3 linked regions of the Diceros bicornis minor genome follow. The protein of the gene in region 3 interacts with the protein of the main gene of each other region in a pairwise test. Links are inferred from orthologs where the notes say so. Each region holds a gene or a part of one and is shown on either strand. Other genes may lie near its edges.

Region 1 (10,213 bases), on a different chromosome or scaffold from region 3:
CTGAGGCCCGGGGCTGCGTGCCAGGGTGAAGGAAGTACCAGTTGGCTCCCGTAGGGTGAGCAGGGGTGGAAAGGGGCGCCTGCGGGAAGCCGGGGCAGCGGCAGGGGGCTAGGTCATGGCTGGCTCAGGAAAGCAGACTCTATTGCAGACTGTGGGGAGCCACAGGAGGGCTTTGAGTAGGAGAGGGACAGAGGCAGCTCTGCGGGAGAGCTGGCTGTGGGGGCACAGGGGGGAAGTGGGAGGGGAAGCGGGCAGAGCAGGCAAGTGCAATGGTTTGGTGAAGAGAGAGTGAGGAATGGGCTAAAGCAGGGCCATGAGGCTGGAGAAGGGATGAGCGTGTCAAACGCTTAGTTATGGAAGGAGAACCAGGCGGTGTTGACACCCCTTGGGCATCTTTGGGGGACCCATGAGGGCCTTCCCAGGATCCCCCACAAGCCTTGGCGCACTTTGGTCAAGTGTAGAGCACTGACAGGCTGGGGGAGGCAGGGCACCAGGCTCCAAGGGGAGACCACTCAGCTCTGGGGACTTCCCAGGGCTGGGTTTAGGGGGGACTCAGCCCTGGGGAAGCTCAGGGTGGGGAGGAAGCTGGGGAGGGGGCTGAGCCAGCATCTCATGACTCACCCACTTCCACCCAGTCAGCCCAGTGGCATCTCCGCTCCCCTGCTCCAAATTCCAATTTGGTGAGGCTGCTGGAGGATGAGTCAGCTCCGGCACGGCACGAGAGCAGTGTCCTAAGGGGCTCCCTGCCAGACACCCTGGCCTCCAACCAAGGCCAGGGCCAGGCACGGGGTTGGGGGGTGCAGAGCCAGGCTCCGAGGCTGCAGCAGCCTCAGCTGATCGGGGTGGCCCAGTGAGATCACGTGAGGGAATGTGCCTGGAGCTCCCTGTGGGTGAAGCCAGGGACCACACTCTGCCTGAGGAGGAGGCAGGGACCGGGGTGCAAGGCCTAGCTCTGCCCGACTCACCACGACTCTGAGGGAATTCCCTTCCCCTCTTGGCCTCAATTTCCTTGACCACAGAATGGGACCAACATCTCCTTTTAAAGAGGTTGTGATTAAATAATGCATAAGGAAGTGCTTTGCAAACGTTCTGTGGCCCGTGATGATTAGGGTGGTGGGAGAGGTGAGTATAAACAGGAAAGCTTCCAGGGTCACTTATGGTTGTGCAGGTTGTTCACTGCACAAGGATGTCCAGCCTAGATTTCGGAAATCCAGCCTATCTGCTGCTCACCAGACCGTGTGCCCTGGCCCAGAACTTCTAGACCAAGAGGATACCTTTCTCTAACAGGCGCCAATACACCCTGTAGGTTAGTAGTGGCCCCTCGGACTTTGCTGGGTTGAGCCCCTGGATTTATGGGAAATCACTGAGAAACTGATTCTGATTCTTAGGATGGAGGGGAAGCAGGGCTGGCTTTGCAGAGGCTCTCAGAGAAGTTCTCAGGCTTTTTTTTTTTTTTTTTTGGTGAGGAAGATCAGCCCTGAGCTAACATCCATGCCAGTCCTCCTCTTTTTGCTGAGAAAGACCAGCCCTCAGCTAACATCTATTGCCGATCCTCCTCCTTTTTTTTCCCTTTTTCTCCCCAAAGCCCCAGGAGATAGTTGTATTTTATAGTTGCACATCCTGCTAGTTGCCGTATGTGGAACGCGGCCACAGCATGGCCCAACAAGCAGTGGGTCGGTGTGCGCCCGGGATCCGAACCTGGGCTGCCAGTAGCGGAGCACGCGCACTCAACCGCTAAGCCACGGGGCCAGCCCCTCTCAAGCTTGGCAGTGAGGAGTATCTTATTATTGGGGGATGTTAGGGGGGCCCCATCAGAGCAAAGGGGCAGTCTCTCCTGGCCCTGCGTCTCTCCAGCAACCAAAGCAAGTAACCACCAACACAGTATTTTAAAAAACACTCAAGACACAGACCCAATCTGGGTTTTATTGAAATGCCAGGAGCAGGCACATGACAAGGTAGTGAAGGAAGGGAGAAAGGTGGTGCAGGCTGTGAGGGGGCAGGGAGGGACAGGCCCCATGTCCATGGCCCGGGCATCTTCTCTCTCTGCCCAGGGCTGAGTGGGCACACTCATCCCCCCAACAAAATGGCATGCTCAGGCCTGCAGGGCCTCTGCCTGCTGGTCTGTGAAGGCTCCAAGGAGAGAGACTGGAAGCCCTAAGTCTTTTCTCTTGTGAGGGAGGAAGAGAAAAAGGGGAAGATGCAGGAGAGGGGGGAGGTACAGCCAGGGATGAGGGCAGCCAAGGAAGGCTCTCCTCCTGGGGGTCTGCACCCAGCCTGCGGTCCTCGATGGCAGAGGGGAGCAGCAGCGAAAAGAGAGGCTGAGGGTCCGGCCCTCAGGGAGCCAGAGCCTCCAGGGAGCCAGAGCCTCCAGCCGGTGGGGACTTGAGTCAGCCCTGAACAGAGGGCAGAAGTTCAAGGGGATTGAAGATGCAGACAGTTCCCGAGTGACCTAGTCCTCAGAGCTGGGGGACTTGGCCTCCTTGGGACAAGGAAGACGGGAGGATCCATCCCTGGCAGGGAGGGCAGAGAGTGGTCTCCCCTACTTGGCCCTACTAGGTCAGTTCCACGTTGTTGGCGCGGTCCAGCACACGGGAGCCGCGGGCACTGCCCCCCAGCTGGAAACGGCTCTCATAGAGCGTGGGGCAGAGGTGCCAGCGGTTGGCCCGGTAGATGCCCAGGTAGGTGTAGACGTCAGGCTTGTAGGTGAGCAGGCACTTAATGCCTGCTGCACGGATGGCTGCATCGGCCTCCAGCACACCCAAGCGGTCCGTGAAGTCGTCCGTGTAAACACAGATGACCTGGCGCCCACCCTCCCTGGCCCGTGGGCTCACCTTGGCCACCTGAAGCCGGCCCTCGACCACGGCCCGGGCAATGCCGGCCCAGGCGTGGTCCAGCTTGAAGCCAGGTGCCAGGTGCATCAGCCACTTGCCCGAGAGCACGTGGTGGGTGATGGCCAGCTGGCGCAGGGTACCTGGCGTGATGGGCCGCCCGCTGGTCTGCAGAGCTTCCCAGGCTGCCTGCAGGCCCTGCACGTCGCCTGAATTGGGGACGTAGCCCTGCCCATATGCTGCAATCCAGCCCACGGGCTCCGAGTTGGGCGAGCCAGGGTCGCCATAGCGGGTAACTTGGGATGGCGGGTACTTGGCCAACCAGGCATCCAGCTCTGAGGCAGGTGTGGTGCGGGCATCAAACACCAACCAGGGGTCCATGTCAGCTGCCATGGCCTCCGCGGCCAGATGCTCAGCAGTGAAGCCATCCTCCCGGCCGCCTGGAGAGTCCTCCTCCTCCAGCTCCTCACCTGGCTCCATCCTGAAGCGAGGGAACCGAGTTAGGGCAGGTCCAAGACAGATCTACAGCTTACTGGGCCCTAGAAGGGTGCTAGGCACTAAACTAAGCTGTGTGGCTTTGGGCAAGACTTAATGTCACCGTTCCTCTGTTGCTTCATCTTTAAAATAAGTAACAACTGTTCCTGCCTTGTAGAGCTGTTGAGAATTAAATGCCTGACGCGGAACACGAGCTACGTAAGTGTTGTTGCTAATGTTATCACTACTGTCCCTGACTTACAGATAGGAAACTGAAGCTCAGAGAGAAGGGACTTACCCAAGGTCACACCTGTAGAGAGTGACAGGGCCATAATGTGCATTCAGGTGTGGAAGCAGCCGGCCCAGCCACACCTCCTGGCCCTGCCAGTCACTGGCAGGTCCCCGAGCGCCGGGATTTAATGGAGGGAGGAAGACAGGCGCGCAATCGCGCAGCACTGGGGCAGGCCCTGCAGGGCCAGGCCTCCCGGGGGGGTGTCATCGGGCCTATTTAAAAACCAGGACATTGAAGCCCAGAAAGGGCTGTGACGGGTCCGAGGCCAGTGGGGCGGTGCCCGGACTCGAACCCAGGCTGGTGGGAACCTGCGGGAGGGCCAGCCGCCGGCCAGCCGCGCCCGCCGCCATTAGCGCCCACGGCCCGAGCTACGCTCCCGCCCGGCCCTGCCCCCTCCCGCCGCCCAGCCGTCACCTCCGGCCTTCGCTGCGCTCGGCGCCGGCCCAGCCCCGGGCCCGGCTCCGCTCCTGCCGGGGCTCCGCGCCGCCGCCGCCGCCGCGCCCCGCCCCCGCCACGGCTGCCGCCGCCGCCGCCATCTTAGCGCCTCGCCGCCTCAACAACAACTTTATAGACAAGCGCAGCGCGGGGCGGGGCCCCCGGGCCGGATCGGCCGCGCCGCGGGGCGGGGCCGACGAGGGAAGGGGCGGGGCAGGTGGGGGCGGGGCTGACCCCGGGGGCGGGGCCGTCAGGGAGCCCGGGGAGGGGCGGGCCTGCGTGGGCGGGGCTAACGTTCGCTCTCCTGGCCTTGGGCGCGGGTGGGAGTGGCGGCCCTGTCCCGGACCGACGTGCACCGCCCGGGAGGCTATAAGGGGAGGGCACTCGAGCCCTGGGAGCGGCGTCTTGACTGGCGGCGCTAGGACCCCGTGGGGAGCGGCAGGGGCGGAGCAGGCGGCGCCAGGACCCGGGGGAACCGCGGCGGGCGGGCGGCGAGCAGGCCCCGGGGCCGGGAGGCTGCGGGCGGCGGCGCTGGGCCCGGCGCGGCGAGAGAGTCCCCGAGATGCCGAGCAAGAAGAAGAAGTACAACGCCCGGTTCCCGCCGGTGAGCACGTGGCCGGGCCCGGGAGGAGCGGCCGGGCTCTCGTGAGGCTTGTGCCCAGGCCCCGCTGGGGGGGCGGGCGCTTCGCGCTGTTCGGGGGCCCGGACGCCCCGCCCCCTTCCGTGCCCTCCCCGCGTCCGTGCCCCCCTCCCCCCTTCTCCTGGGATACCCCCCTCGCTCGCCCCCAGCACCCCTTTCTGGGTCGGAGGCCACGGGGTCCGAGCTCTCTCCCTTCCCCAGGCGCGGATCAAGAAGATCATGCAGACAGACGAAGAGATTGGGAAGGTGGCGGCGGCTGTGCCTGTCATCATCTGTATCCTGTTGGGGGCTGGTTGGGTTGAGGGACGTGGGAGAGGGAGGCAGCCCGGGGTCGCCTGTGTGGGCTGGGGACCCCCCTAGCTGCGTTCTCCTTGACACCCCTCAGCCCGGGCACTCGAGCTCTTCCTGGAGTCGCTATTGAAGAAGGCCTGCCAGGTGACCCAGTCCCGAAATGCCAAGACCATGACCACATCCCACCTGTGAGTGGCTGCGGAGCTGAGAGGGCTGAGTGGGGCCGTGCCCCAGGAGTTCACACAGTTAGGGGCGGCTGCGTTCTTATAGTGAGGGAGGTGGGAGGCTGCTGGGAAACCAGCCAGGCCTCCAAGACTGGTGGGTTTGAACTGGGGGAGGAGGAGTTGGGTGTTCCAGCAAAGCGGGGGAGGTCGGGTGGTGGAGATGGGGTGGAGGCTTTCCAGGCTCTGTTCTCCTGACATCCAGAGCCTCTTACTGTCCCTTGCTGAGGACCCAGACATCTGGGCCCCACCTGAGTGTCATCCCCTCCCCATCTCTTCCAGGAAACAGTGCATTGAGCTGGAGCAGCAGTTTGACTTCTTAAAGGACCTGGTGGCATCTGTGCCTGACATGCAGGGGGACGGGGAAGACAACCACATGGATGGGGACAAGAGTGCCCGCAGGTGGGGACCGAGGGCCAGTGTGCAGGTGGAGAAGGCCAAGGCCACCAGGGTTGGGGGTGGCTGGGGGGTGATGAATGGGGGGGTGACCTCTGGGCAGATGGACTGTACCTTCTCGAAGGGGCCGGAAGCCAGGCAGCAGTGGCCGGAAGAACGGTGGGATGGGAAGCAAAGGCAAGGATAAGAAGCTGTCGGGGACAGACTCGGAGCAGGAGGTGAGTGAGGCCCCCAGCCCTCTGTCTCGTAGTGTGCAGAGGGCAGGCTTGTCTCAGGCCGGGCTGGCTGGAGCCTGGTTCCATCCTCACCTCTTATCTCTTTGTACCTTGGTTTTGTTGTTTATAAATTGGGACTATGGAGGTCACCCTCCTGTCCCTGCTACTCTCAGGGGTTTGTGCTTTCCAGTGATGAGTCCATGCCTTTCATGTCACTTCTCATCCCTACCTTGCTACCAGGATGAGTCTGAGGACACAGACACCGATGGGGAAGAGGACACACCGCAGGCCCCACCCCAGGCCAGCCACCCCCCCGCCCACTTACAGAGGTAAGCAGCTCAGTGGGCGCCAGGAAAGGGCCAGCAGACTCCCCAAGGCTGACTTGTCCCTCCTGGCCTCCATGACCACTTGGATCTATTGGTTGTGGCAGATTTGGGGCATGGGAAGGGAGAAACTGAGGAGGGCTTAAAGGTAGGAGACTGTGCTCTCCGAAGGTCCCTTCCACTCTTGGGCGGGGCAGTGGATGGGGCCTGGGCAGGGACTGTGTGACCTGCTTTGGGCCCTTCCCTTCTCTGGGCTTGGCTCCCTATTGGTACCGAGGGCGGTGGGCTCCATGCTGCCCGTGTGGAGGGCAGGGGGTGGCTTAGGGGTCAGGAATGAGCAGTGGCCTGACCTTCCTCTCCTGTTTTCTGCCTAGCAGCCCCCCGACACCCTTCATGCCCTTTGCCTCAACTCTGCCTCTGCCCCCAGTGCCCCCAGGCCCCTCAGCACCTGATGCAGAGGATGAAGAGGATTATGACTCCTAGCGCCCTCTGCCCCCCAGGCCACACCCCTTTTTAGTTGGTTTTGGTTGTTCTGGGGGGAAGAGAGAAGGTAGAACTGTTCTTAAATTTATTAAAAAAAAGAAATAAAAGGGAATGCCAGTGTTTGTCCCAGCCTCTGTCTAGGGCTTTGTGGCCACCTTGCCATCTTTTCACCTGCCTTCTCCACACTGAGCTGGGGCCAGGAGTGGTGGTGGGCCAGGCAGCAGCAGAGTGAAGGGAGGGGCTTTACGTCACAGTTATGCCAGGGCAGGCCCAGTGGTGCTGAGGGAAGGAAGGCGGGCAGGGTGGTGTAGGGCCTGAGCCAGCAGGTACCCATTATGCCGGGAGACAACCTGTTTCATCGTGCTGTGTGACCCTGGGCAGGTTCCTACCCTTCTCTGAGCAGCCTCCTCGCATCTCTCTGATGGAGACCATTCTGTCCCTGCTAGGCTGCTGCAGAGGGATAGATGCGACAGGTAACAGAACAGGTCTTGAAAACTAGAACTTGGGCCAGGTGCCACGAAGGGTGTGAGAAGGGGCACTGGGAGCAGAGGTGGGCGAGATTGTGGAGGGCCTTGAAGGCTGGCTCACGAGAGAGCAGTGACACAGCACCACACCGGCTGTGGCCACTGTGAGTGGTGCAGGTGGGTTGTGATTCCAGCCGGCTAATCAGCCAGGACGCTCAAGCCCTGGGACTTAAGGTGGGACCTTTGGGGACCGGTTTTGACAAGGTTGCTGGCTTTCCCATGGCTCGGGTGGCAGCAGGGACCCTCTAGGAGTCCAAGCAAGGATGATGGCTGCCACACTGGGTAGCGAAGCTGGTGGAATGTAGGCCAGACGCAACTGGAAGCCACAAGTGGTGATCCTGACTGCGAACAAAACCAGCACAGCGGAGCCAGGAGGCTCAGAGGCCCAGATTTCTGGTGACATCTGAACACCTGGACCCGGTCTTGCCGGAAGCCTGTATACCTCAGACTTCTTAGTCCTGTGAGCCAATAAACATTTTTCCCTGCCGGAAGCCAGTTGGGTTTCTGTCACTGGTAACTGAAGAAGCTGCGGCTGACAGGGACCGTGAATGGGAGGGGTTCCCATCGGCCCGGAAGCGGGAGGTAGTTTTCTCTAGCAGCAAGTCGTGTGCAGTCCCAGGGGAGGCAGACTCCTGGGGTCCACAGAGCTGAGGGCATGCTAGTGGGGGTGAGGAGCTGGGGTAAGAGAGGAAGAGAGCCTGGGAGCCTGTTGCTGGGCTCTGTCCAAAGGGTGAGATCCTGAACTGAGAAGGTTCAGAGTGAGGAGGCTGGGTGAGAGTGAGGAGGACGATTGGGGAAGGCCAGGAGGCCACGGTGCAGGGAGTAGCCCCTTTCATCTAGGCAGAGGCTCGAGGAGGTGTGGGTGGGGGTGGGAGATGCCCAGGAGCCCCTGGCCTCTGCCTCTGCATTCTCAGCCTGTTGGCTCACCCTTGGCAGGGTGCTTACGAGTGGAACTTCTGGAGCCAGGCCCCGGGTTTAAATCCTAGCTTCTGCACTTACTGGCCTCAAACAAGTTCTGTAGCTTCTCGATGTCTCAGTTTTTCCATCTGTAAATGGGACTAGTTATTACCTATAGTTATACATGCTATGCTGTATATACTAGTTATACCTATTAGTTAAGGCAAGGGCCTGATGTAAAACTCAAACTGTTTAGGCTCAAGTGCAGAGGAATTTTCTTGCTCATATAAGGTTTATATTGGGATTTATCTGATTAGTGGGTGGTGCTTCTGCAAGAGGGACGCCAGGGCCCAGGCTCCTTCCATCTTGTGGCTCCACCATCCTCAACCTATGACTTTCAGGATCACTGAGGAAGGGGAAAGCTCAGAGCCTATGGAGGTTTTTCTGGGCCAGGACTAGAAGTGGCCCCATCACCTTTGTTCACCTCCCACTGGAACTGCCACAGGACCCACCTGAGGGAGGCTGGGGAAGGTCCTCTAGCCAACCTGAGTGACCGACCAGCCAGTTTCGGCCATAGGACCTCATAGGCCGTTAGGGAGGACCTGACCCAGCTTTCACCAAGTGTTAGGAGTGCAGCCTCCTGAGTCAGAGGTTAGGGGCCCCAGGGAGACGGTGCTTCTGGCTGGGCCAGGCCCCTGGGTGCTTCCTGGGAGTCGGGAAAGATGGTTCTGCCCTGCCCGTGGGCACCACTGGGCACCGGGAGGGAAGCCTGTCAGTACCCCATCTGCAGAGCTCTACCTGGGAACCAGAAGGTTTTCTTTGTTTATTCTCTATCCACTGAGGAGCCTTGAGCCTCGGGCCAGGTCCTGTCTGAATGCCTCAGCCTGGCCTTGGCTGTACCCTGGGGTGTAAGTGTGACCAGTGGGTAGAATGGGAAGCAGCTTCTGAGGCCAGTGTAGCATCCAGAGACTGAGACCTTCAGGTGAAGGGTATGGGCCCACCCATCCCTGCCAAGAGGAGAGTCTCCCTCCATAGTCCCCCTAAGGATTCATTCAGCAAATGCTTATTGGGCACCCAACATCGTCCCTCAGCAGGGAAATGAGTTGCCACAATCACCCACCAGAAGCCTGAAATGAAAAAGTCTGAGATCGCCAAGTGCGGAGAGGAGGTGGCAAGGCCAGACCTCAGTGCTGGTGGGAACGTCACGAGGTGCAACCGTGTTAGAAAACAGTGGGGCGGTTTCTCCTTGAGTCTATTAACACGTACTTCCCTGTGACACAGCAGTGCTGCTCCTAGGCATACGTCCACCAAAAGACACGTACAAGAATGGCCACAGCCTCCCACTGGAAACAACCCAAATGCCTGTCAACAAGAGCACGAATAAATGGTAGGGTATTGTACAACAGAACAATGAAAAAGGGCGAACCACTGTTACACGCAACATCGTGGGTGAATCTTGGAGACCTTATGTTGAGCAAACGAAGCCAAACACAAAGAGCACACACCGTGACGTAATTCATTTAAATCAAGTTCAGGGACAGGTGAAATTAATCGATGGTGATGGAATTCAGTATAATGGTTACCTCGGGGTGGGAGTTGACTGGGAAGCAGCCTTCTGGAAGTGTTCCACAGCTTGAACTGGGTGGTGGTTGTATATAAAAATGTATTAAGCTGCACACTTAAGATGCATGCACTTTTATGATAGCCTCATAAAAATTGTATTTATTTTATCCATCTATTGAGAAGCTATTGCACACTAGACACTATTCCAGGTAGTGGCGATTATGTGAACAAAATGTTCCTGGAGTTTATTTCTAAAGTGGAGAGACAGACAATAAAAGAGATAAATGCAGGGCCAGCCCGGTGGCATAGTGTTAAGTTCGTGCCCTCTGCTTCGTCGGCCTGGGGTTTGCATGGACTCACACGCTGTTCATCAAGCCATGCTGTGGTGGCGTCCCATAGACAAAATAGAGGAAGATGGGCACAGATATTAGCTCAGGGACCATCTTTCTCAAGCAAAAAGAGGAGGATTGGCAAAGGATGTTAGCTCAGGGCCAATGTGCCTCATCAAAAAGAAAAAAGAAGAAGATAAATGGTATGTCAAATAGTGATACGTGCTCTGGGGAAAAGAAAGCACACTAGGGGGGAGTGAGGAGTCCCGGGCGGCCCCAGCCATTCTATACGGGGTTCAGGG
Region 2 (9,847 bases), on a different chromosome or scaffold from region 3:
AGAAGAAAATGACAGCATGTTAACAGCAATTATCTCTCCCAGTAGTTTTCTTTTTCTTTATATTTTTCTGTAAGCGCATGTAGTACTATTTTTTTTCTTTGAATGTTCATCTGTTGAGGGGCCAGGGTGTCCGAGGCACTGTTACCCTTCTGAATAGCACTTTCTGCAAGAGACCTACCCAGCTTGCTCCAATCAACCCAGCCTTCTCCCTTCTCTGAAAGGCCTGATAACAGGGCCTGCTACCACCACAAATCCACACATAACGTGCACTACTCTTATCATCAGAAAAAAATACATATCTTGTTAAAAAATAATTCTGTTCTCTGAAGCTACTTCTTCAAAGAAGTTTCCCAGAGCTCTGGATTGCCGGGCTTAGAACCCTACTCTCCACCCCACTCAGTCAATCATCGTAGCCCCTGGCTCCAAGGGTCAGCGCACTTGCCTCCAGGCCCCATTAGTCCACCAGCCCCTCTGCCCTGACCTTGCAGTTAAGACATACGGCAGGGCCGGCCCCGTGGCTTAGCGGTTAAGTACACGCGCTCCGCTACTGGCGGCCCGGGTTCGGATCCCGGGCGCACGGATGCACCGCTTCTCAGGCCATGCTGAGGCCGCGTCCCACATACAGCAACTAGAAGGATGTGCAACTATGACATACAACTATCTACTGGGGCTTTGGGGGAAAAAATAAATAAATAAATAAAATTATTTAAAAAAAAAAAAAGACATACGGCAGATGCTCAGCCAATGTTTGTTCAGCTATAGGCTGTAATTAATCCTAGAGACCCCTTCAGCCTGGTCACTGGGCAGGGCTGAGCACCAGTGAGGTGCGTAAGGCTGGGGCCGAAAGCCTCACTAAGGCCCAGGTACACCCTGGCCCACTCCCCAAGCAATGCCCCCTCCGAGCTACAGGCAGCACGTGGCCATGGCCCGCAGCACAGGCCTGGCACCAGGGCCTGCTCAGTCCCAGAACTGGTAGAGCCAGTTAGCAGGGGGAAAGGAACAAAGGCCAAAGGAGGGGCCCTGGGGCTGGGGTTTGCTGGCCCTCAGGCCCACAGCCAGGACAGCCTTCAACACTCACTGGGTCCAGGGGTACCACACCCAGTGTGGGGGGCTGGGGTGGGGAAGGACATCCCAGAAAACACGCAGAGCCCCCCCAACCCTGGGAAGCTCTCATCTCTGATACTTTCCCCACCTCCCAGGTAGCCACTATCCCCTTAAAGGGGCAGAAACTTGACCGAGCACCAAGTAGACTTGACCTCGAACCTAGTTCATCAGGCAAGTGTCACCTAGGGACTGAATTTGAAACGAGGACAGAGACTTAGGAGGGAACTTAGTGGGACCAGGTTAGCCCAGCCAGGAAGCAGAGGAAAATCCCTGCTATGGGAGCTGGCCTTGAACTTCAAGAATGGCGACTTTCACCTCCCTCACCCCGAACTCGGGCCTCCCCTCCTGGTCCCACTGTGGCTCCACACTTCAATTTGGTGACCATTACCTGACCATACCAGGCTAGTCTGATGCTACAGGTATTGGCCAGGGTCACTGGAGCCCCTTAGGCTTCTGAGGGGAGGGACATGGCTTAGTTCCTGCCTCAGTTACCCCAGCTGGGCTCCACCCAACCCAAGGAAGTTTCCAAAATCTAAGCCAGTTTCTTTGAAAAGAGTATTTTTGCTGGAGGCGGCAGGCCCATGCTGCCAGGGGCATAGGGACTGAGCTATCCCCAGGGAAAACTCAGATATGCTTACCCCAGCTTTGCAGGATACGCTCAGTCCAGACCCCCCCACCAGCCTGGGGGACCAGCTGCATCTTTTGAACCTCTCTGGGGAGAGGAGGGAAGGACTAGCAGTGCTCTAGCCTGCTAAGGGTGACCTGTTCTGGAGGACCGTGTCACCACAGCATTCACACACACATACACGTGCACATGTAATGTAAACAGGGACCACCAGGCCTCCTCTGGCCCAGGGCAGAGAATCTCCAAACAGGCAGCATGGAGGAGAGGGGCCCAGGTCCAGGAATGTACCCCCTCCAGAGCCCCACCCACCCTGAGAAATGCTCAGGAAACACAGTCAAAGCTGCTGGCCCTCAGGACCAGGGTCAGGCCTAGTCCAGGGCAGGAAGAAAACAGGATGCAGAGCAGGAAGGCGGGGAAGGCCGAGCAGTGGCAGCTCAGGCCCAGGCCACGGGAAAAGGTGCTGGGTTGGCTTCTCTGCTGCCCAGAGCAAAAATCTGTGTTCACAGCACAGCCTCTGAGGGCCTGGGATTGGAGGACACCCTGGGGACAACTGGCCTCATTCTCCTTGGGGACAGCAAGTGGTAAGGTCTGGAATGACCATCTGGGATCTGGTGGTCACTTCCAAGTTGCCCGAGCCAGAGCACTACACAGTTGCCCACTACACAGAGCCCAAGGCTTCAGCCCCTGAGAGTCTCTCTCTCCAGGCAGCCCAGGCCCCCTCCCACCTGCAGGGCCCCAGTGCTCTCCGGAGGGAGATCCAGGCTGGTCTCTGGCTCCAGTCCTGTCCCAAACCAACTCATTGTCCTCAGCTGGGAAATGGGACAGCACTGTCTCAGTCAGCTCTGTCATAGGACTGCAGCCAGGGAAAGACAGAGGCACACTGTATTTTGGGGAGGGGGCTGGAGCAGGGAGGAATCTAGTCCACCCAGACCTTTTGCGACTCAGCTGAGCTAGTCCTGCTGGCCCAGCAAAGGACCCTGGCTGCTGAGCCAACAGCCCATAGCTCATTTCACTAACAAGGTGTTTCCCTCCCCAAGTAGGTAAACCTGGGAGCCTCCCCTCCCTCCTCTCCTGTGGCTCCACATTGAGAGCTGGCCCACCTGCCACCCACAGACCTAGAAGTCCAAAGAAAGCCAAGTGCCAGAACTAACCAGGAGCCATGGGGGAAGTGGCGAGAAGCAACATCTGGTTTCTATGAAACGCCTCTCAGCCGGGGCTGGACTCAGCAGAGGCCCTGGGCATTTGGGTATCTCTCGTGGGAAGGAGAGAGTGTGGTCTGGCCTCTGAAGCTATGACCAGCTGGCTGTGGGGAGATGGCTCCCTCAACCCCACTCTAACTGTCAAGAGCAAAGGGAGCTGGGGGTGGTGGGGGTGGGGGTGGGGAGTGGTAAGAGGAAGGTCCCAGATGACAGCAGGTCCTGACTCCCTTGGAAGTGAGGGATCCAGGGAGTCAGGGCTGGGCATCTCCCAGGCCAGAGCGGCCTGGTTCAAGGGGTGAGGAGAGAAGGGGTGGGCAGGGAAGCAGCCCTGCTGGGGCCATGTCCTGTGTGTTGGGGGCAAAGAAGTAGCCTCTGTGCCACTTGTGGACTGAAGGGGATGTGCAAGCATGGATTAGGCTTAAAGACACCCCTAAACCCCACACCAGCCAGTCAAGGGCAAACTGGAGGGTTCTTAGCCCTGACCTGGAGAAGAGAGGGTACCCACAAACACAGCCATCCCCACCGCTGGACCACAGAGAAGGAGCCTCCTGGAGCAGTGGTCCCCATCTGGGAAACTGGACTCCATGGGCCTAAGAACAAGTCCCCTTGCCAGGCTGCAGTGCTGTCCCCCACTCTTTGCATGTACCCAGGAAGACCTGGGCCTTCTCTGGCTGTGGGCATCAACCTGGGCCCAGACAGGCCGCTGCCGCCGCGTACCAGCTGTTTCCCGGACCCAGGCGGGCGCTGTCCCGGCTTTGTTTGCATTGAGTCAGCCGGGTCTGTGCGTCCCGGACCAGCGGGCACAGAGGGGCAGAGAGAGGGACAGGGAGGTGGCTGGGTGAGTGGGGGCGGGGAAGGCTGGAGATGCGAGGCTTAAGGGGCAGAGGGGGGCGTGCAGGACAGAGGGCGGACAGCAGCGACGTTGGCTCAGGGAGTAGGCACACGTCGGCCTAAGGTGGCAGCAGCGGCTGCGGGGAGAGGGATGTTCCCGGGAGAGGAGGCTGGGGGTGGGGGGCTAGGGGATGGAGCCCTGGGATACAGGCCAAGGGCTCCCGCTCCGGCCCTGGCTTCAGCGTCACCCTGGGGCCAGCCGGTCCCTCCAAGACCGGACAAGCCAAGTTGGCGCAGCCCCCCGGCCCTGCCCAGCCCCCAGCCCGGCAGGTGGGTGAGGAAGCCGGGGCCCCGGGCGCACCTGCGTCTTGGTGGTGAGCTGGATCACCGCCTTTCGGAAGTTCAGCTTGGAGTCGGCCGACCCCATATCGTTGGAGCCCGCTCCGGCCCCGACCCCCGCCCCAGCCCGGGCTCGGGATCCAGCTCCAGCTCCAGCTCCAGCTCCAGCTCCAGCTGCAGCTCCAGCTCCGAGGTCCCCGCTGCTCTCGCATGAGCAGAGCGGCGCACCCCGCCCGCCGGCCCAGCGTCGGCCCCGCCCTCCTGGCCCCGCCCCCGCGTGGCTCCGCCCTCCGCACCTGCCGCGCCCCGCCCAGTCCACTCCCTGCGCGGGAGTCTGCAGCTCGCGTCAAGGCAGCAGGGCACCCCCCCGCCCTTCTCGGCCGGACCCGGTGGCTCCGTGCCCTTCCTCCTGTGTCGGAGCTTTGCCTCCGCTCCATCCCTTCCATTTCCACCCAGCCCCCAGGGCCGGCAATCCCCCCACCCTCCCGCCCCTTGCCCCTATCCTCACCCTTCCTCCCGACCATCGCTGGGCCCGCAGCTTCTCAGCCAGCCCTCTCCCTCCTTGTCAATGCCTGTCCTCCTCATTCTTTTTTTTTTTTTTCTTCTGAGCATCTGCTCTCTTGGTTTCCCTTTTTCTGACCAGTCAAACCCACATGTCCAGGCAGCCTCGCTGTTATTCCAGCCACAAGCCCCGGGCTCAGCCCTCCTTTCTGTGGAAGGGAGGCGCTGACTCAGGGCCCCTGCTCCAGGAAAGCGGCTCCCTGGCCTGATGAGAACGGAAGGTCCCTCCGCGTCCTACAACTCCTTTCTGGCCGCCTGCCTTCCCTGAGAATCCTTTTAGGTCCATCCATTTCAACACATGTGTTGAGGGACTGGTATTCACCAGCGCTGTGTCAGAGACTGGGGGCCTAGGGGGCTTAAGTCACAGGGCCTGCCCTTTACAAGCAATTAGCTATGGAGAGAAACAAGGAAAGAATCAGCCATGATTCAACCCAGTGAGCCTTTGATAGAGGCTAATTAATAATAATATAATTATTATTATTATTATTATTATGTGACGGCAATACCTCTGAGGTAGGTATTATCCCCATCTTACACTCGGGGAACCTGAAGCTCAAAACAGTTAGGTTATTTGTCCAAAGTCACACAACTAGTAAGGAACAAAGCCCAAAAGGCAAATCTAACTCTGGCCCCAAAAGAGGCTGCACTTTTCCCACAACATCATCTTGCATACTATGTCTGGAAGCTTCTGGAAATCCTAGATGCTTCAAAAGTACTTGACATTTAGCTTCAATAGGAATTCCACAGGTGAAAAATGAAGCGTGCACCATCTAGGCAGCAAAAGGGTGGCACAAAGGCAGGGTAGGACAGGTGTAGAGGTAGGGAAGAGGGGGACAGAGATTTCACCACGTCACCAAAGGAGCTCTGTCCTTGCTCCAGAGGTAGGTTTTCCCTGCCCTGGATGAAATCCTGGGCAGGCTCCATGGCTTCTCTAATCACTCTGAGATAACGAATGAATAGTACTTTTATTTGGCATTAAAAAACAAAAAATCCAACACTCTACAAATCACCCAACCCCAGTCCAACCCAGAGTGACATTAAAAACTCTGAATCTTAAACATTAGGGAGATGCAAATTCAAACCACAAAATGATAACCATTACATACCTATTAGAATGGGTTAAAAAAAATAAAACCTGAAAGTACCAGATACTGGCAAGGACGGGGAGCATTTATACTTTCTTATGAAGTTAAATATACAATTACCATATGACTCAGTAATCCCACTCGTGGTATTTACCCAGGAGAAATGAAGACATATATCCACACAGAAAGCCTGTGTAATGCTTATAGCAATTTCATTCATAATCACCAAAAACTGGAAACAACCCAAATGTCCATCATCTGGTAAATAAACAGATTGTGGTTCATCCATACAAGAGGACTAATACTCAGCAACAAAAAGGAAGAAACTATTGATATACGCAGCAACAGTGTGAATGAATCTCAAAAGCATTGTGCCAGACACAGAAGGCAACATACTGTATTTTATCATTTATGTGATATTCTGGAAAAGGCAAAACAATGGGGCAGGAAACAGGTCAGTGGTGGCCATGGGCTGGGATCAAGATGAGGGGATGGATTATGAAAGGGTACGAGGAAACTGTTTGGGGTGATGAAAACATTCTGTGTTTTGATTGCAGTAGTAGTTCCATAACTATATGTTTGTCAAAGCTCATGTAACAGTATACCTAAAATGGGTGAATTTTACTGTATGTAAATTATAGCTCAATAAACTTGACTTTGGAAAAAAACAAAAACCAAGAGCAGGTGCTAACTGGCCATTCCAAAGGAGTAATTCTGAGCCCTTTGTTCTTGCCCATCACTCATAGCCATTTCTGTGATTTGCAACCAGAAACTCCAAGTGGTCCCAAAATATTACCGGTCCCTCATGGACCTTGCTTTCCATCAGCTTTCATGGGATGAATTTAAACGAGTCCATTCATCCTCATCCAACCTCAAGAGGTCTGCTCCCATTCATTGGGCATTCAGCTCCTCGGAAAATCTTAGTGTCCGTCTCCAGGAAATCTTACAAGATCCCTGTGCCCTCTCTCCACCATAGTAGGGAAAAAATATTAACATTGTCTTGAGGAATGTGACCACTAACACTTCTAGGTGGAAAAATACCCATTTATCCCCACCATTTGTTTACTGTCTCTAAGTTAAACTTAACATCCTCCCTGATTCACAAATGATGTTTTCAAAATGCTGTTAGTTATTTTTCGGTGAGGCATACTGAAGTGTGTAGAGGGAAAATGGCCTAATGACTGGGATTTGCTTTAAAATACTACAGCAAAGAAAACAAGAAAAAGACATACAGGCGAGATGAAGCAAATGTGGCAGAATCCTGGTAACTGTTGAATCTGCATTGGGTATGTGCAGATTCATTGTACTATTCTCTCTACTTTTGTGTGCACTTGAAAACTTTTTTTTTTTAAAGGTAAATGCTTTTTTTTTTTTTGAGGAAGATTGGCCCTGAGCTAACATTTGTTGCTAATCTTCCTCTTTTTCTTTTTTCTCCCCAAAGCCCCAGTACATAGTTGTATATCCTAGTTGTAGGTCCTTCTAGTTCTATGTAGACCGCCGCCTCAACATGGCTTGATGAGCGGTGAACATGCCCATGCCCAGGATCCAAACCTGCAAACCCAGGGCCACCAAAGTGGAATGCACAAACTTAACTGCTGTGCCACCGGGCCGGCCCCCTGCACTTGAAAACTTTTATAGTAAAAATTTTTAAGGAAAAAGACTGGATATATACAAAAAAAAAATTAGTAGTAAAATATAGCTTTTGAAAGTTTAAAGAAATTACTTATCCCTTATTACTTTGATGATTTCCTAGTAGGTTTTTAGCTATGATTTACCATATGGAAACTATGCTGTGTCCTCCTTTTATGCCCAGCATAAAGGAAGAGTCGCCAGTCCGTGGCTCCCATGGCCCTCCCTGGAGCCCTTTTTTCTGAGTTCAACCACCAATCATGCAACAAACATTGACTCAGCACCTACCAAGGGCCAGGTACCTTGCACAGTGCTAGGACCTGAGCTAGAAAGGCAAGTTCCTACTGCTGAGAATGAGGGAGACATATAGGGCAACGACACAGGCAAGAGAGTTATGGGGTTGAGGGTGCGAGTGAGTCTGTCCAGGGCCATGGTGGGAACACGGGAGGAAAGACTGGACAGAGTAGGGGAGGCTGCACTGAGGTTTGGAGGATGACTGAGAGTATCAGTCAGGGTCCCAACAGGAAAGAGATGGAAGATTCAGACACAGCAACTAAAGAGAGTTTAATCAAGGAGAAGGGAAACCAACAAGGGCTGTGAAGCACTCTGGGGCTAGAAGCCGCGGGGAGCCTCAGCCATCCTTAAGCCTGAAGGCGCAAGGGGAGGAATGGTTGCCAGAACCCGGAGAAAAAGAGCCGGGTAGGAGAGAGCCGGTGGGGTCTGGAAGGGAGGGAGCTGTGGGGTAGATACCCCACCTCCACTCTTCTCCTGCCCCCCGATTTTCTGCTGATACTTCCCATCAGTGGGCCCACAGACAGCAAGAGAGCAAGGGAGCCCATTGATGCAGCCCACAAAAGCTTCAGCCTCCTGGGCGCGGAGCAGATGGAGAAGATGGAAAGCGATCTGAAAGGGCAAATGGAACATGTCCAACATCCAGGTAGGGGGAGCAAGCGGAAGGAAGGCCCAGAAGCTTGGTACGTCCAGAGAACAGAAACACCTAGCTAGGGTGACACGTAGAGAATCAGAGATAAAGCTTGAGAGGTGTGCTAGGACCAGACCATAAAGGACAGAATACATGCTGTTTAAGGAGATTTTATCTTATTCTATGAGCAATGAGGAGCCTTTGAAGCAGGGGAATAATGTTGTCGAATATCATTATGTCTTAACAAAGTCATTCTAGCCGTGACAGGGAAGACGCAGTGACCTGAACACTGGGAATCCAGCTGGGAGGTGAGAGATGATGAGGGCTGAACCGAGGCAGTCATGGGTGGGATGGAAAGGAAGGATGCAGGTGATGTTGGCGAGGTGGAATCTTGGAATTTGGTTGTCGGTTTGATGTGTGTTCTAGGTACTATTGCTGTGTAACAACCTCCCCACCAAACTTAGTATGAAACAATAACCATTTTTTTTAATAATTTTATTTATTTATTTTCCCCCAAAGCCCCAGTATACAGTCGTATGTCATAGCTGCACATCCTTCTAGTTGCCGTATGTGGGACTCGGCCTCAGCATGGCCGGAGAAGCGGTGCGTCGGCGCGCGCCCGGGATCTGAACCCAGGCCGCCAGCAGCAGAGCGCGTGCACTTAACCTCTAAGCCATGGGGCGGGCCCAATAACCATTTTATCGTAAATTCCATGGTTGGTAATTCAGACAGGACTCAGCTGAGGTGGCTTGTGTCTGCTCCACGATGTCTGGGGTCTCAGCTGGGAAGACTAGAATGGCTGGGGGAGGGGTTAACTTGGAACAGCTGGGAGCTGGACTCACCTGGAGGCGTCTTCACTTATATCTGGCGCCTGGGTTGGGAGGACTTGGAGGCTGGGCTCAGCTGGAGCTGAAGACGGAAGCACCAACATGGGGCCTCTGCATGTGGCTTGGGCCTCTCCCAGCAAGGACGCTGGGCTCTGAGGCAGCGTCCCAAAGGGTGCACGAAGAGAGTGTCCTGAGAGAAAGAGGAGGAAGCTGCATGGCCCCTTGGTATGGAGCCTGGGAATAACACATAAAGTTACTTCCACCCTAGTCTATTGGTCAAAGCAATCATAAGCCCACTGGATTCAAAGGAAGGGGACATATACCCACCTCCCCATGGGAGAAGTGTCAAAGAAGTTGGTGCCGTGTTTAAAACTACCACATTGTGGGTGATTCTGTTCTCCACACTTCCTCCTCCCAAGCCCAGCCCTTCTCTCTCCTGACCTTTGTCTCTAAGTCTCCTCATCTCAGTAAATATCTTCCAGGTGCTCAAGCCAGAAATCCAGTGTCACCCTTGATGCCTCTCCTCTTGTCACCCCCACGTCCAATCCATCACCAAGTCCTGATGATGTTATCCCCTGTATATATTATATTATATATACATGTGTATTGTATTTTCTACCTCCCTCATCTCCACTGCCCCCACCTTGCCAGGGCCCCCATCATCTCCCACCTACAACAGCCTCCACTCCTGCCCCCTCTAATCTGTTCTCTGTAGAACAACCTAA
Region 3 (10,614 bases):
AGGAGTTAAAGCTAATTCCTTTACTTGAACTGATCCAAATAGCTACTCCTTATTTCACCTGTCTCAAAATTATCATCACCTGTTTTATTTACTGTCTTCCTCCAGTTCGCCGCTTCATCTCAAAGGCGTAGCAGAAGTCAGGTGTAAGTAGGCACTAAATTACTACTACATGTTGAACTAATACATTTATGTAGTCAGTAATCCATCTAAAATGTATTACATATTCCATTTTATCATTTTGATAAATTATTCTCAAAGTTTGTACAGCACTCACTTGGGGAGAATGTTAATGAAAGGCTAAACCAGTCTACAAAAGTCTCCCCACTTAACCCACTTTCCTCAGAGAGTACCTTCTTCCTTTGAGAAGAGCAAAGACCCAGAAAGGCAGCATGGAACTGAAATGGTTCTCTCTTTATTGTTGATTTATATGAATAATATCCTTGCCTTAACATCCTAGTTCCTATTTCTTGATGCATTAACTCGAGGCAAATATATCACATTTTGCTTTAACCCATATAACTGAAGTGCTTCACAGGTTTTAATTCACTTTTACTCTAGGATCTAAGGAAAATGATAAAAGTTTGATAATTAACCAACTTGAAACCATTTAAGCCATCGCCATGTTGAGCAGAAATAAAAGAAAAGCAAAAGAAAAGCAAATTGCTGCAACTTTTTGTATATGTTTAGTAATAACAATTGTGCTGGGCTGTTAATTACCTGAACAGCTACTAAGATATTTAAAATTATATATCCATCCATCACTTAAGTGCGTTTACACACACTAATACTTTGAAATAGGACAAATGCCAGTGTGGGAAGAAGCTGAAGAAATGCTCTAGACACAAAATCAGAGAATAGTATAGACTAGCACTGTCCAAAAGAAACACAGTGCAAGCCATATATGTACTTTACAATTTTCTAGTAATCATAGTAAAGTGAAAAGATACAGGTGAAACTAATTTTAATTAAGTTATCTTATTTAACCAAATATACCCAAAATGTTATCATTTTCCACATGTATTCAATCTAAAAAAATTGAGATTTTTTACATTCCTTGAAATCCAATGTTTACCTTACAATTACAGCACATTTCAATTCAGAATTGTGCACAGTTCAAGCGCACAACAGCCACACATGTCTAGTGGCTACCATATTGGCTGGAGCAGGTACAGACTGATGAGGAAAAAACGCATGCTCAATAAAGCATAGTAAATATAAGGCCCTTGGGGAAAGACTTGCACTGATAAAAGGAGGCAGTATCTAGCACACTTGACTATAGCTGGAGCTTGTACTTACTACATTTGAGAAGCAGAAGTTCAAATAACTAACTGGTTATGTACTGGCTGTAGCTGCTAGCCTACGTGTTCAATGTAAAGAAACTGCTGATAAATTTATTTTCAACTACCCACTAATGTTTTACCTCAGCATAAAAGAACCTATTAAATATAAAAATGACCCCAAAATAAAATTACCATTCAATACTTCTGAACAGAATACTTAGAATACCATACCTAGTTTAATGAAAAATGTAGCACAGTATAAACATGTAAGAATTCCTAAGGCTTGGTGTTATGAACTGAAAAAAAGTTTTGTATTGTTTTCTTTTTTAACCAGGTACTCACATGCAAGTGGAAAACATTCTAATATCAAGACAGGAATTTTTTAAAATCTTGATTTGGCAGAAGGGATTTTACAGCAAGAAATGATGGGATTCAAGAAACCAAGTCACTCCCACTACAGCAGTTTCACCAGTGAATTCTAGCTATTAAGCCTTAGAAAATATAGTTATAATTCTTCTTACTCTAATTCTCTATTAATCCTAAAAGTTTTACAGCTCTCCATAAGACAGTTTGAGTCCAAGATCTCAAAGTAGTTTCCCCTTTGTTTTTTGAAAAGACAAAGCTATGAAGGCATATTAATTCTTTGTGTTTATTTAACAAAATCAAGATTTTTATTTATTTACAGTCCTAAAATTCAACTCCTTAAAAATATGTCCACAGCATTTTCACGTTTCAACTACCATCTCAAAAGTATGGTCTTCACAACAATGTGAATGAACTTAATGCCACTGAACCGTACACTTAAAACAAGTTAAAAATGGTAAATTTTATGTACCACAATTTAAAAGAAAGATTTTTTAAAATGTTGGATGGCCCTGCACTGTGTGTCTTCAGATGGAGGCAGGGAAACAGGAGTGGGATAAAGCAGGACTACATGTCAGCTTTCACACTCTTATTTTTGATTTGCTAGAAATTTACCAGAATTTTCAACCACACTCTAAAAGTCATACCTGTTAAGTCAGAACTTATTTACAAAAAAAGAAAACCTATCTTCTGCGCCTCAAATACTTTACTTTTCAACTCAGCTGCTATAAATACTCATCTCGATGGTAAACATCCAGAGCAGCTGCAAAATCACTCAAACCACTACCATCTCTTTTATTTCGGGCCTAGGGCTAAAAGGAAACAAAAAGAAACAAGGTTGAAATATTTATCTAGACTTTTTGACTCAGGCATATGCCTTTTCAAGCATGTATATAAAACCCCTCCTTACCCACACCAAGAACACCCATTATTGGTTAGTATTAGTACCAAAAGGACACTAAGGTATTATTATACTGCCCCTCAATGTAGTCAATTAGTATCGAGAATGCTTGCCTTCTGGAAACTCCAAATGAAAATTACTCAGCGTTTTGATATAGAATAACTTCTATCAGTGGGCTATAATTTGATACCTACTATTTGATTTTATCGACTGGTAGCTCTGGCTGAGAGCTGCCAGTTCATACCATCCTGATAAAAAACTAAGCCTCTCAAAGGAAACAGATTTAACTACCACAGTGCCTTTGACCATCCTCCCTCCCTCTCCACCCAGTCCTCTTAACTGTAAAGAGGATCACATCCTTTCACTCAATTTAGGTGCAAAACAAGGAAATTACCTCGCACAACAACGTTCAGATTTTTATGTTTGCAGATTGAAGGCTGTTTTAGGGAGCGTTCCCTGCCTCACTTGCGAGTCGAGAGAGGAGCCAGCTGGGTGTTTCTAAAGGAAAATCTTAAAGCCAAAGAACAGTGGTACTAAGATTTCGTACTGATAAAACATCGGATGGTAAAAATCTCAACAGTATCTCGGACCAGGGCTCTAAAAAAGTAACTCCACAGAGAATGACGAAGCCAAGTCGTTCATTGCACAATGTGGGCCAGGCTCTTACACCATAAGAGGCAGAGAAGGTGGTAAGGAGAACTTCACTTAGCTCTCAGAGCACGCCCTAACCCCAGGACAGATGAGTGAGAGCTACATGCCTAAGATTAGGCGCTGGTTCCCTTTCTCAAGACCAAGGGGAGGCGAAAAAGGGAAGGTTGGGTGTAGACACCCAAAACAGGCAGCTTTAGGTGAGTGCAAGTAAGGATGACAATTCAGCCGCGCTGTGTCAGATGCGGCCAGGGAAAGGCCGTGTCTCTAAGCCCTTAGATGAAACCGGGTCTGCCTATACACAAAGGAGGTGCCACTACCGCACTGCGCTCTGGTACTCGTAGTCAGATCCCCAAGCAGGTGACGGACAGGAAACTATAGGGTCCAAAGTCAGAGTAGGCCCCTCTCCTCTGCCTCTTCCACCCTCACACAAAGGACCGCGCCACCACCCCCTCGCCCCGCCCGCCGGGACTTGTAGTTCCCGTTTCCCCCGCCAAGCCGCAAAGGAGGAAGCAGCCAGACTACAACTCCCAGCAGCCTCGGCGCCCGAGCCCCGCACCCCTGCCTCCATCTTGGCTGCGGTCGGAGCCTCCATTTTTGCTCCCTCCCCCCACTTTAGTCACCACCACCACCGCGACACGCGGCCGCCAGCCTCGACTTTTCGCTTCGGCTCTGCGGCCTGACGTGAGGCCTAAGCAGTTGAGCGGGGACTGAGTGGAAAAGTCCAGGGTAGGGACTCAGGGTGAGATGTTTCCTACCCGAAGCTCTAGGAGTGCCCACCTTGACTCAGAAGTCTCTCCCGTTAGTCTTGGTCTTCTCATTCGCCCTTAGTCTGGCTTCTTGCTACCCCCAATTGCACCCTGAGGTCGTACTCACCCCAACAGCTCAGCGCCCCCTCTCCAGCGCCGCCATAAGCAGCACGGCCCGGTACGTAGGAATAAATCTCGCTTCTCTCGCGAGAGTTGCGAGCTCCAAGCGCGTGCACAGGAAAGGGGCGGGGGGGTGGTGGACTCCTAATACGCTTGCGCACGAGGGTTGAGTGACGCCAACCAGCGCGCTGCGCTTAACCACAACCGGGAAGGTGGGTACGTTCCTCTACTTTTCACTCCCTTGTGAGCTGCGGAAGCAAGGTCGGTGTTTACTGACTCCGCTGGGACGCAAGGGGCGGGGCGGCGGGTGACTTTGGCGTCACTGATCTTTGCAAACCTGCATTTGCTTTAAGCGGCGAGACCAGGGTAAATCTTGAGGGCGAACAATTTGGAGGGCATATTTAGGAATGTCATAGAAAGGATTTTCTCTTTTCCCAGCGGTAATCCAGAAGCTCCCAAACCCAGTTTCTTCTCACAGCGCACGCTGTCTTTCCCTTGTCTGCTCCATTAGACTGGAATTTTCATTAGTATAGAGTCAGGTTTTTAGCAGGGTAATTTGGAAGTCTTAAGTGTGTCTCCCAGAGACTATATTGCTTGCAGCAGACGGACAACAGTGAGCAAGGCAGCATAATCATAAAAAAAAAAAAAAAAAACCCGAAAACGAACTCCTTCAGCTGACCTTTCTAGTTACCAGAAGATATTCATAGTGTATCAGGTAATCAAAGAGGCTGAATCAGTAACCAAAAGGTTGAAATCAGGGCAAATGAATGATTCATCCAACGGGGCTTATAAGAGGAAAGGAAGAAAGTGGTTAATTCTAGCCACAGAAAAGTTCAATGAATTATCCGTTGCCAAACAATAGAGTAGTCCCCTCTGGTGAGAGGAATGCTTTTGTCAGATTCTCTGGCTCTCTTACTTGATAGTATTGGATAAATAATGACCAGTCATGCTCCTGAGAACTCTCCCATCCACTTAATTTTCGCTTTGAACACATATTTATTCAGCATCTCCTGTGTGTCATGCTGGGGTGTATACACTGGTTAAGACAAACGGACACGGTTCTGTCCTCAAGGAACTTTCAGTCTAGCATCATTCAATAATCACAAAAACAAATCTAAACATACACATTGAAATAAGTGCAATGAAGGAAGGGTGCACAGTGTTAAGAGACTATATAACCTCCAATTCTGAGCAAATCGTCTTGACTTCTAAGAGGAGGCAGTATCCTCTTCTGATGTTCGAGTTTCTTTCCACCTCTGTTGCTTTTGGTCCAGTCCCATACCACCTCCAAGCTGCCTGTTTGTTCTCTTTGATGCCTTCCCACGCTTTCCTAGGCACGGATACTTGCTTCACTTTCAATGCTTTAACAGCTCACTCTATTGTAATTATTAGTTTACACTAGCTAGTGATACTTTAGGGCAGGGTCTGTGACATTCATCTTTGCATCCCTGGTTCCAAACAGTGCCTGGCATACACAACGCTCAAAAGCTTGTTGAATGAATAGCACTGAACAACAGTGTAAGAAGTTGTTAGAAATAGGAATGTTCTGTTGGAGAAGTACAGAATGTAAACATATCAAACCAGCTGTTTTGTTTCCTTTGTCCAAGTGAGAATTTAAGATCTAGTCTGCATGTTCTAATCTGCTGTCACAGAGAAACTGCCCTGGGCTCTTGCACTAGAAACAAGGTCATGTGAAGCTGGGCTAAAAGTAGAATTAGGTCTAAGAGCACACATTCTCAAATATCACAGCAATGGGAAATGTAAGAAATGGTAGTCTCACTAAATTCTATAAATACAGTTCCTATTAATAAGAAAGAATAGTCTTGATTTCTACCATTACACATAGCTTCTAAAGACCTTTTTAAATCAGATAACCATTTTATCATCCTCATTCTGAATGTCTCAATTGCCTTTAAATTCCTTCTTAATCCATAATTAGTATCAATTTACATTTAGCACAAAATGCAAATATGTACAAACCCAGAAGCATACGTTTTAGCTTCCAGTGCATTAAAGAAAGTAAAAGATGGAGTAATTTGATTTAAATCACTGGTTTAAATGATTTATTTCTACAAGTACTCATAATTAGAGGTAGGTTTCATTTTTAGATCACTACATTTTAAGGCAATAATCTTTTTCAGATTAATTTTGAAGTCAAATAAAAAAACAAAACACTGTAGATATCTTTTTATGTTTTTTTTTTTTTTTTTTTTTGTGAGGAAGATCAGCCCTGAGCTAACATCCATGCCAATCCTCCTCTTTTTGCCGAGGAAGACTGGCCCTGGGCTAACATCTGTGCCCATCTTCCTCCCTTTTTTATATGGGACACCGCCACAGCATGGACTGACAAGCAGTGCATCGGTGCAAGCCCTGGATCCAAACCCCGGGTCGCCAGCAACGGAGCGCGTGCACTTAAAGGCTGCACCATGGGGGCAGCCCCTATGTTTATTTTTTTTAAACTGAAGTTAATTAAAGCAGAAACTTGTGAAGTGATTTGGGAAACCATCTTCTATACAACAGGGTAGTCATGGATTTTGGGAAGATATTTAGTCTATTAAGGAATAACCATCAGAACAAAAAAATTGTATATATTATTTTTGGTTATTTATCATTCTTATTTTTCTTCTCTGAGAAACTTAAATAGACAATGAAATTGATTATGGTTGTGTGTTTTTTTTTCTCTACAATGATCAATAAGCACATTTCTCTGGAGTCTTTTTGAGAATCAAAAGCAAGCATCCTTTACACATTTATAAGGTTATCTTGAGCAGTGATGGATAAGATTTTTGTCAGTTCTCTGTCAAATGAGAAAAATTAGGTCAATGTAGAGATTTTTTTAAAAACAAGGCTAAATTTATTCAAGATTTTAAGGACTGTTTTTTCTCTGATATTAGATCCTTCCTATTTAGGGAAGTTAAAGAGAACTTCTTTTATAAAATTATGGTAATAGTGGATGTTAAAGGGATCTACATTCAAGATTTCAGAACAGGAAAACACAATTTAGAGCAAACTTTTATAAAGAATAATTATTTCCGTAGAATGTAAAAAATTAAGATTTAGTCCTAGAACCCTACAATCTACAACTTTTTTGCATTACAAGCCCTCAAACAGTTAAAATGCATTATATAAATAAGAATAATATAATAAGAATAATTATGTAATAAAATATTATTATTATTTTTTTTACCTTTTTTTAATTAATTAATTAATTTATTTATTTATTTTTTGTGAGGAGATCAGCCCTGAGCTAACATCCGCCAATCCTCCTCTTTTTTTGCTGAGGAAGACGGCCCTGGGCTAACATCTGTGCCTATCTTCCTCCACTTTATATGGGACGCTGCCACAGCATGGCTTACCAAGCAGCGCGTCAGTGGGCCCTGGGATCCGAACCAGCGAACCCCGGGCCGCCGCAGCGGAGGGCGCGCACTTAACCGCTTGCGCCACCGGGCTGGCCCCTAAAATATTATTTAAATAAGAATAATGCAAAAGCTTTGTATGCGTTCCTTTAAAATATCAACATTGCATTTAATGGAAGAATTATGTGGACATGCTACGTAATCACCATAACATTTTAGTTCTACGATTCAGCCGGAGGGAAGGGTGGAGCAAAAGAATATTTTAATAAACTTAAATTAGATGTCGATGCAAACCAATTGCACTTAGAATAAAATCCAAACTCTTTTACCATGACCCACAAGGCCCTAAATGACCTAGTCCCCACTAAGTCTCTAGCCCCTGGTTCACTGTGACTCAATTCCACTGCCCTTTTGGTTCTTCCAACACTGCAAGTTTGTTCCTACTTCAGAACCCTTGCATTTACTATTGCCTCTGCATGGAATGCTCTTTCCCCAAATCATCACATATATGGCACTTTCTCATCATTCAGGTTTCAGCTCAAATGTTACCACCTGACAAAAGATATTTCTAAAGTATTTCTAAAGTAAAAGAACCACTATCACCATCTTTCTTTTCAGTAATAAATTTGACCATATTTAAAAAATTCCATTCATCAAGAGGCAGCAAAAAAAATAAATAAAAAACAACAGACTAGGAGAATACATATTTGCAACATATAAAACTGACAATGTATTAGTATCACGAATATATACTAAATTAATACATATCAATAAAAAGTCAAAGAAAAGAAAAATGGGGGAAACCACTTGAATGTCTATATTAAAACCTGTACAGGCAAATAAACATTTGAAATTATACTCAGCAGCATTAATAATCAGGGGAATGCATATTTGTTTTGAGATAATTTTAGACTTACAAAAGAATTAGAAAAATAGTACAGAGAGTTCCCATAAACCCTTCACTCAGTTTCCCATTATGTTAATCTTACCTAACCATAGAACAATTTTCAAAACTAGGAAGTTAACATTGACACAATAATATTAACTAAATTACAAAGTTAATTTGGGGTTCACCAGTTTTTTCTCTAATATCCATTTTCTCTTCCAGAATCAAATCCAGAATCCCACGCTGCATTTAGTTGTTATATGTCCTTAGTCTCCTTCACTCTGTGACAGTTCCTCAGTCTTTCCTTGTCTTTCATGACCTGGAAGCTTTGGAACAGTATTGGTCAGTTATTTTGTAAACATCCCTCAATTTGGTTTTGTCTGTTTCCCTTGATTAGATTGAGGTTATGCATTATTTGTAAGAATGTGACAGGTGATGTACCCTTCTCATTGCATCATATCAGGGGGTAGATGATGTTGAAGTGTATTATTAGTGATGTTTAACTTAATTGCTTAAAGTGGTGTCCTCCAGGATTCTTCATAGTAAAATTACTATTTTTCCCTTTATAATTACTAAATATTTGGGGGGAGATACTTTGGGACCATACTTGATTGAATATTGTCTCTCAAAAGTCATGTCTACCTGCAACCTCAGAATGGGAGCTTATCTGGAAATAAGGTCTTTGCAGATGTAATCAAGTTAAAATGAAGTCATACTGGAGTAGGGTAAACCCTAATCCAACAACTAATGTCCTTAGAAGAGGGAAATTTGGACACAGACAGAGACATACAAGGAGAACACCATGTGAAGACTGAGGCAGAGATTGCAGTGATGCATCTAGAAGTCAAGGAATGCCAAGAACTGCCAGAGCTAGAAGAGCAGCATGGAATACATTCTCCCTGAGAGCCTCCAGAAGGAACAAACCTTGCCAACACCTTGATTTCAAATGTCTAGCTTCCAGAACTGAGAGAATAAATTTCTGTTGTTTAAAGCCATCCAGTTTGTGGTAATTTGTTATGGCAACCCTAGGAAACTAACACAGAGACTATGCAAGTATCTTTTTTCTGTTTAAACTTTAGTCCACTAATTTTAGCATACATTGGTGGATCTTGCTGAATCTCCTTTTAGCTCATAGATGTGCAGGTTTTTCCACACAGAATTATTCTTGGGCCACAAAGAATACTGGTAATGCAGCATTTCCTAAGAATGCATCATTGTTATCTCCAGGATTCTATTTCAAGCTGCTAAAAGCCATTGCGATAGGCAGAATTCTAAGATGACCACCAAGATTCCCACCACCTTGTGTAAATGCCTTGTATAATCCCCTCCTTTTAAGCATGAGCTGGACCTGTGGATATTAGAGGGTGTCACTCATATCTCTTTATGGCAAAGGGATTACTGCAGATGTAATTAAGATCTCTAATCAGTTGGGTTAATCAAGAGGGAGATTATTCTGGTTGGGCCTAACCTAATCAGATGAGCCCTGCATGGACTTCTGACCTACAGAACTGTAAGATAACAAATGGGTGTTGCTTTAAACTGCTAAATTTGTGGTAACTTGTTATACAATAGAAAACTAATACAGCCATACTCCAGGTTCTTATGCTGGCACTTTCTTGATCTTACAAGAAGGTGTTGATGGAAAATTCACAGAAAACAGCTAAACCCGTATTCCTTTCTCAAATGGTCCTTAGTTTATTGACAGAAATATCAAGAGCTTGCCTTTGCCCAGTCATGCCACTAGGAATGCAAACAGTGCTTATGCTTAGAATCAACCACACCACAACCCCTGCATGCATAAGACATATCCCAATTTCAGAGATGTTAAAACAGGAAAGAAAAATGAATCTTACGATCAGTAACATACAGAAATTCATTTCCGTCAATTCCACATGTATTTCTAGGAGGCTAGATAAAATGTTGAGTGAATTGTAGTTCATCAAAGCTCTGAAGGTTCTGCCTCCTTTTTAGCATTCTTGGAGAGTGACAAAAGAAAAAGCATCATCTGATTTCCACTATGAATATTAGTGGATAATACTCCTTAATTCAATCTGAAAGTTGCCGTGAGACAACTGCAAGTGAAATAACTGCAAAATATGAAATCTGACTGCTTATAGTGAAATGTGTCTAATAATAAACGAGGTAGATGAAGGGAGAATTAAAAATCAGGAAGTCAGATATTAGCAAGGATTTTAAAAGATGTATAATTTTATCATTATATATGTATGTATCCCTTAATATATTGTATAGTCACACAGCGAAATATTGTACATCAATGAAAATGAATGAATGACAGCTACATACAACATGA

The links.
Region 1: the proteins of CSDE1 (region 3) and C31H11orf68 interact in a two-hybrid assay, tested with the Homo sapiens proteins (2 studies listed by BioGRID and IntAct). The link is inferred for Diceros bicornis minor from reciprocal best matches to the Homo sapiens genes CSDE1 and C11orf68.
Region 2: the proteins of CSDE1 (region 3) and HID1 interact in binary tests that used the Homo sapiens proteins (3 or more experiments, as listed by UniProt). The two-hybrid records come from large-scale screens. The link is inferred for Diceros bicornis minor from reciprocal best matches to the Homo sapiens genes CSDE1 and HID1.

The regions. Positions count from the first base shown.
Region 1 is NC_080770.1:7,364,931-7,375,143, reverse strand, and holds C31H11orf68 (UPF0696 protein C11orf68 homolog), read right to left. Parts: upstream 4,146-10,213; 5' UTR 4,131-4,145; coding exon 4,009-4,130; intron 3,948-4,008; exon of another isoform or gene 3,601-3,947; intron 3,310-3,600; coding exon 2,553-3,309; 3' UTR 1,906-2,552; downstream 1-1,905. Other genes in the region: DRAP1 (dr1-associated corepressor), read left to right, coding at 4,592-4,633, 4,871-4,943, 5,055-5,148, 5,464-5,583, 5,681-5,795, 6,033-6,121, 6,493-6,598.
Region 2 is NC_080757.1:55,537,507-55,547,353, forward strand, and holds the start of HID1 (protein HID1), read right to left. Parts: upstream 4,297-9,847; 5' UTR 4,187-4,296; coding exon 4,121-4,186; intron 1-4,120. UniProt on the Homo sapiens protein: May play an important role in the development of cancers in a broad range of tissues.
Region 3 is NC_080743.1:47,397,509-47,408,122, forward strand, and holds the start of CSDE1 (cold shock domain-containing protein E1), read right to left. Parts: upstream 4,154-10,614; 5' UTR 4,069-4,153; intron 3,997-4,068; exon of another isoform or gene 3,973-3,996; intron 1-3,972. UniProt on the Homo sapiens protein: RNA-binding protein involved in translationally coupled mRNA turnover.